2 linked regions of the Kluyveromyces lactis genome follow. The protein of the gene in region 2 interacts with the protein of the main gene of each other region in a pairwise test. Links are inferred from orthologs where the notes say so. Each region holds a gene or a part of one and is shown on either strand. Other genes may lie near its edges.

What was found. The genes of interacting proteins can lie anywhere in the genome.
Region 1: the proteins of NAM7 (region 2) and UPF3 interact in a two-hybrid assay, tested with the Saccharomyces cerevisiae proteins (2 studies listed by BioGRID, with this or other methods). The link is inferred for Kluyveromyces lactis from reciprocal best matches to the Saccharomyces cerevisiae genes NAM7 and UPF3.

The regions. Positions count from the first base shown.
Region 1 is NC_006040.1:317,517-320,583, forward strand, and holds UPF3 (Upf3p), read left to right. Parts: upstream 1-1,208; coding exon 1,209-2,441; downstream 2,442-3,067. Other genes in the region: YNK1 (nucleoside diphosphate kinase), read left to right, coding at 338-796; KLLA0_D03740g (uncharacterized protein), read left to right, coding at 2,683-3,015; KLLA0_D03751g (uncharacterized protein), read right to left, coding at 3,005-3,067. UniProt on the Saccharomyces cerevisiae protein: Involved in nonsense-mediated decay of mRNAs containing premature stop codons.
Region 2 is NC_006038.1:566,451-570,790, forward strand, and holds the start of NAM7 (ATP-dependent RNA helicase NAM7), read left to right. Parts: upstream 1-1,457; coding exon 1,458-4,340. Other genes in the region: MBR1 (Mbr1p), read left to right, coding at 1-974. UniProt on the Saccharomyces cerevisiae protein: RNA-dependent helicase required for nonsense-mediated decay (NMD) of aberrant mRNAs containing premature stop codons and modulates the expression level of normal mRNAs. Also capable of unwinding double-stranded DNA and translocating on single-stranded DNA.

The DNA.
Region 1 (3,067 bases), on a different chromosome or scaffold from region 2:
TCTGCTATTGTGTATGATGAACCATACTTTTACAGCTTCCTCAGTAAGAAGCCCCAAACATCAACTAATCAAAGTCACGTGCCGGAAAAATTTTCTCTCATTTTCGATTTTCCCCGGCATTTCTTCGTCTGCACCAATCTCATCGAGCATGAATCGGATCCTCATTCGTTGGCTCTCTCGAGAAATATTTCAATTTCGTTGATTTCAATTTGCAGTAACTTTCTTCTTTCCATGCACTTTATTTCAACTTCTGGGGTTAGCGATTGCTTATGTTCCATTGATTCTTAGTTCATAGCAGGATCGTACACAGAATCACGTATTAACTAACTCGAGAAAAATGTCTAACACTGAAAGAACTTTCATTGCTATCAAGCCAGATGGTGTTCAAAGAGGTTTGATCTCTAAGATCTTAGCTCGTTTTGAAGACAGAGGTTACAAATTGGTTGGTATTAAGTTGGTTACTCCAACCGAAGCTTTGTTGAAGGAGCACTACGCTGACTTGGTTTCCAAGCCATTCTTCCCATCTCTATTGTCTTACATGACTTCTGGTCCAGTTTTAGCTACTGTCTGGGAAGGTAAGGATGTTGTTAAGCAAGGTCGTGCTATCTTGGGTGCTACCAACCCATTGCAATCTGCTCCAGGTACCATCAGAGGTGACTTTGCCATTGAAGTTGGTAGAAATGTCTGTCACGGTTCTGACTCTGTTGAATCTGCTGAAAAGGAAATCGGCTTGTGGTTCAAGAAGGAAGAACTTATTGACTACAAGTTGAACCAATTGTCTTGGATCTACGAATAAATGTAACGTTGACAAATTGTTCACTTTATCAATACATATTCTTTCCCACAATTATTCCATATTTAAAGATGTCTTTTCTTATATGATGTGTATCTGTGTGTCGGTATTTATTACTATGTAGATATATCTCAAATACACACATTTTGAAATCCATTAAGCTTTATACTGCGATGTTGTATTCATATTTGTAACCCCGACTTGCGTTGGGTATATTCACGTTTCTACCAGCTTACTGATACGATTACGGTTCAATTTGCATTTATGTTTGTCATAGTATTATTTTACTTAATTGCACTAAAAAATTTCAGTTAGCACATCTGTTCTTCATCACAAATGCATCCCTAACGAAAACATGAGCTGTTATCACAATACCTCAGACAAGATCCTTCAGTAAAACTGCGTTCTTTCACGAATGCTCTCTAAGAAAAGAAATAGAAGGAGGTACCGGAAGAGGAGTGCTGACTCTTCCCGTGAATTCAAATTATGTATTCGATCTTTACCACCAAATTTAACAGAAGAGCAATTCATCAGCACTTTACAAGAGAACAACATCGATGTGCATTCATTTCAAAAATCATTCTACTACGTGCAAGGTCATTACTCCAGCAAGGTGTTCAAGAAACAGACTTTGTCTAGGGCATATATCCAATTGGACTCCTTCGAAACCATTCAATCGTTGTCAAAAACAATAAGAACATGCAGATTCATAGATGATTTGGATAACTCGATGATTCCAGATTTACAAATCTCGCCGTTCGTTAAGAAGTGGGTCAGTCCCAACGAGGTTAATCCTATTCAAGGCACGATTCAAAAGGACCATGTCTTTCAAACCTTTGTCAAATCATGGAAATTGATTAATGAAGATGAAACCAACTCATTACAGTTCAAGAATTTAAGTGTTATTGCACCTTTAAGAAAGGAATTAGAACGTGAAGAAAAAATGGAAGAAGAGTTAAACGGACGTAAGCAAAGAGCACTAATAGAATTGGCTGGTGATCCAACAAGCGAAGAAAAGAAGAAGAGGATCAAAAAGATTAAGAAAAAGTTAAGACTATTAGAGAAGAAGAGGAAGCTGAAACGTGCTAAGGCAAAGAACAAGGATAATCCGGACGAGAAAGATGTTTCTAAGGATAAATCAGAAGTTGAGAAGCCCAAAAAGTCTAAATCCAAACACAAATCCAAATCCAAATCTAAACCTAAATCGAAATCTGAACCGAAATCATCGAAATTTGACACTGCGACAACTGAGAAGAGTGCGGTAACATCCGAAGAAAAGCCAAAGAAGAAGATTTTGTTGAAACCAAAGAAAGATGATGTTCCCAAACCAGAGATGCCTGCAGATTCGGAGGTAACGAAGAGAGCAAGACGTAAAAAATCAAAGAAACATAAAGACAAAGACAAGGATGTAAAGAAGGATTTAACAAGCAAAGAAACAAAGGAAACTCCCTCTAAAGTTACTCCTAAGGTAAAAATAAAGTCTAAATCTGCCAATGTGGAGGAAATGAAATCGGAGAAGCGTAAGCAGGAAAACACTAAGCCAGAAAAAAATCCATCAAGTGAATCAGATAAGAAAGCTAAATCAAAGAGAAAAAGTAGAAAAGGAAGGCAGTCTGATGGACCTAAACACAAAGACAAACCAACTTAATATGCAGACATCGCACCAATGGATGGCATCTCGATATTTTGGCTTAGTTCTCTTTTACGTGCCCTTTCATTTATTCAAATGTGCAGAATATTATTTCTGATCTCTGACACTTGATATTTAAAGGGAGTGTGACAGGACTTTTTAATATTAGCAGCTTTGTGGACTAACAACAAATTCATTTTGCAAACTCAACTAAGGATTATTACACACGCATATCACTCGCCATAATTTTCATCGATCGATGGTGAATATTAGAACTACAGAATTAGAAGGAGATTTAGCACAGTTGACCTATGAACTTGGGTTGAAGGATAAGGAAGTCATGACTTTAAAGCAAAGTCTGGAACGCCTCAATGCTGAAGTCGAGAAGCTAAGAAACGAGAACAGAGGCTTGAAAAGCGAATTGGAACATTGGAATAAACTACCGATGAGTCCAATATCTTTGTCTTCAGAAAACGATCAAACTGAGGACGATAAAAACCGAATGATTCAAGAGAATTTGCGGAGAGAGATTCTTTCCTTGAAGAATGAAAGTAATATTTTATCAGAATGGATCAAGACCCTTATTTCTTGAATTTCTTCAAATAAATATTCTGAGCCGTACCCAGAATTGCGTATGCCAAACT
Region 2 (4,340 bases):
CAGATGAAGGAGTAAAGCCTTTAGTGTGCCATTGTGGTTGTCCCAATGAAAGAGGCTCCATATTTGAGAGATCAGTGCAGGACCCCTTTTGCTCTACTTTTTACAATGATGATCAAGAACCACTCGAGATACACAGTCGTGCAGAAGATTCACTGTATGAATTGAATCCATTGCAGGAGGAAACGCTGTACTATAAGATTCCCAGTGATAATGAAGAAGAGTTTCAGGAGGTAGAGCTTGGAGGGAACCCATTCCGTTCGAATATGATGCGTGGAGATACTTCTTTGAAGGGGAAAATTGGATCACCATCAAAGTGTGGTTGTGTGGTATGTTCGAACTGCCACGGGCTAAGGAAACCTAGATCGAAATCGTCCGCTTCTTACAATGGATACAGTTTCTCGCTAGATTCAAACCCAGTCTCAAGGACAAACAGTATAGTCATTCCATTGTCTAAACAACCCACAAGACAGAGCATTGCTTCTTCTGTTGGATGTCTAGATACAAACAATACCATAAATAATAACAGTCTCTCTTTTGGATCCCCAACTAATATCACTGACGAGGGCGCAATAGATCCTAAATCTTCCAATGGATCAAGATCGTCCATTAGCTTATCTACAAATGCCATTCCAACACACTTATACAGCTTGGAGAGATACGTAAGTTCTGAATTGGATTCAGCGACGGAATCCTTCTTTGATAAGTCAAAACAATTGTCAGACGAAGCTTCAACTCATGGAACAGAAGACACCGTCTCTTCATCGTTGGCAAAAATGTCATTACGAACTTCACCTCAAAGTTCAAATAGCACAATTGCCAATCCAAACACCTACACTAATAGAACCATACCAGAAATACCGTCAGGAACTCAATCAATTAACCAATATTCATCTTCACATCCACCACCATTTTTGGACGCAAGAAAAAGAAGAAAGTCTTTCATTGAACAGGCTTTATCAGAGAGTTTCTCATAATAAAATTCACAACCCCAGTCTTCAACCACCCTCAGTTACCCCAATCATAATCATCAGTATACCCTCATGCATCAAATATATAAACGTAATAGGACATAGACTGTCACCTAATCACTATTTAATTACCCGACTTTTGCATGCATTTGCTGATTCTTTTTTTTTTTTTTCAGTTTGTGTACTTCACATCTCATCTCACATCTCATCAGAAAATGCATCAACTTCCATACATAAAAGTATTTAATCATAATATGCTTCAACAGTTATTATTTCCTATATCACTTTATCTGTATTTTCAAGAAGTTCTGTAAATTGAGCATCTATCAATGTGCTGAGTAACATATTTTGATTTGTGACTCTGACTCATTTCTTGCGAACTTTTTTTTTTGGTTAGTTCGATCTATTCTGTTCAAAGCTATTCTTTGAAGTAGATTGTACACGACTGGTGCCTTTATTATCTCAGTACAATTAGAATCAAGTTTCCTTATGACGATGCGTTTGCCAAATGAACCGTTTGATTCAGATTCGGACTCAAACGAATCTGTTTCTTTGAGAGACGATGACGACAAAAACTTTTTCTACGATACTGATGAGATGCTGGACGAGGAATACTCTGAGTTCCACGGCACTGCTGCTAATACAGATCCTATTGCGGAACATGCTTGTGCATATTGTGGTATTGATAATACTTCATGTGTTGTCAAGTGTAACATTTGCAGCAAATGGTTTTGTAATTCGAAAAATGGTACTAATAGTTCCCATATTGTGAACCATTTAGTTTTATCCCATCATTCTTCAGTTTCATTACATCCAGACTCAGAGCTAGGAGATACTACTTTGGAATGCTACAATTGTGGACGTACTAATGTGTTTGTTCTTGGTTTTGTTCCGGCTAAGAGTGAGGCTGTTGTGGTCTTGTTGTGCAGATTGCCTTGTGCTAAAATGAAGAATGTTAATTGGGATACAGATAACTGGCAACCACTTATTGAAGAAAGGAAGATGCTATCTTGGGTGGCAGAAGAACCAAGTGAAGAAGATCAGTTGAAGGCCAGGATGATTACTCCATCTCAAATTACGAAATTGGAAGCAAGATGGAAATCAAACAAAAACGCTACAATTATGGATATTGATATGGTCGAACAAGATGAAGATATTCCTCCGACTTTGATGAGATACACTGATGCTTATCAGTACCAAAGATCATTTGGTCCTTTGATTCAGTTAGAAGCAGATTATGATAAGCAATTAAAGGAATCACAGGCCTTAGAACACATCTCTGTCACATGGGATTTAGCATTGAACAACAGACATCTAGCTACTTTTGCATTATCCACATTCGAATCTAACGAATTAAAAGTTGCCGTTGGTGATGAGATGATTTTAAAGTATAGTGGTCCACAACATGCAGATTGGACAGGAAAAGGTTTCATCATCCAGCTACCAAACAGTTTCAAAGATGAATTTACTCTTGAATTGAAACCAAGTCAAAAAACTCCACCAACTAATTGTACTACAGGATTTACAGCAGTTTTTGTATGGAGGGGAACTTCTTATATTAGAATGCAAGAAGCGTTAAGAAAATTTGCTGTCACCAAAAAATCATTATCAGGGTTCTTGTATTATAAGATATTGGGCCAAGAGGTTCCAGATGTGGAATTTGATGTAGAATTACCCAAAAGCATTTTTGTGCCTCACTTCACCGAGTTAAACCAATCTCAAAGTAATGCTGTGAAGCATGTTTTACAAAGACCTTTATCATTGATCCAGGGACCTCCTGGTACCGGTAAAACCGTCACTTCAGCTACCATTGTTTATCATTTGTCTAAAATCCACAAACAGCGTGTTTTAGTTTGTGCACCATCTAACGTTGCAGTGGATCATCTTGCTGCCAAGTTGCACAGTATGGGTTTAAAGGTAGTACGATTAACTGCTAAAAGTAGAGAAGATGTGGAGAGCTCAGTGTCCGAGTTAGCATTGCATAACTTGGTCAGCAGGTCTGCAGAAGGTAAACTCAAAAAACTTCTCAATCTTAAGGAAAAAACAGGGGAACTTTCCTCATCGGATACCACGAAATTTGTGAAGTTAGTGAGAAAATCAGAAGCTACCATCATTCAAAAAGCTGATGTTATTTGCTGTACTTGCGTCGGCGCTGGTGATAAAAGATTGGACTATAAGTTCCGCACAGTATTGATCGATGAAAGTACTCAAGCGTCAGAACCTGAATGTTTGATCCCTATCGTCAAGGGAGCCAAACAAGTTGTTCTAGTTGGTGATCATCAGCAACTTGGTCCTGTCATTTTAGATAGAAAAGCTGGTGACGCTGGTTTGAAACAATCTTTGTTTGAAAGATTAATTTCCTTGGGTCACATTCCTATTAGATTGGAAGTCCAATATAGAATGAATCCACAATTAAGCGAATTCCCAAGCAACATGTTCTACGAAGGTAGTTTACAGAATGGTGTCACCATCGAGCAACGTACTATTGCAAGATCTACCTTTCCATGGCCAATTCATACTATCCCTATGATGTTTTGGGCTAACTATGGTCGTGAAGAGATCTCAGGCAATGGTACTTCCTACTTGAACAGAATTGAAGCCATGAACTGTGAAAAGATCATTACAAGACTATTCAAAGATGGTGTCAAACCAGAACAGATTGGTGTTATAACTCCTTATGAGGGGCAGAGAGCATATGTTGTACAATATATGCAAATGAATGGTTCGATGGAAAAATCATTGTACATGGGCGTTGAAGTGGCATCAGTAGATGCTTTCCAAGGTAGAGAAAAAGACTATATTATTTTGTCTTGTGTCCGTGCCAATGAGAGAAACACCATTGGTTTCTTGAGTGACCCACGTCGTCTAAATGTTGCGTTGACTCGTGCTAAATACGGTCTAATAATATTGGGTAACCCAAGGGCACTATCTCGCAATAGCTTATGGAGTCATCTACTACTTCATTTCAGAGAAAAGGGTTGTCTTGTTGAAGGGTTTTTGGATAATTTACAACTCTGCACAGTCCAATTGACGAAACCTTCTAGGGCACCCAGGAAAGCCCCATCCAACAACAGTAGTTATACACAATATGCTGGTCAGAGAGACTTTGACACTCAAAGTTTGGTCTCATTCGGTGGCCAAAACGTCGTTGAAAAATCTTTTATTCCAAACACGGACTTGTCTTCGTTATTGAACCAACAATATTGGAATGGACAGTCTTTTGATACACAATCGCGCTTAAGTGCTACGCATCCTGTTAACCAATACGATAAAGACGCGGTCAATTTTGATGGAAGTTTATCCAATGGCTTAAGGAAGTACAATGGAGTGGGCTCAAAGTATCAAACCATTGATGAAGAATCAACGTTAAAC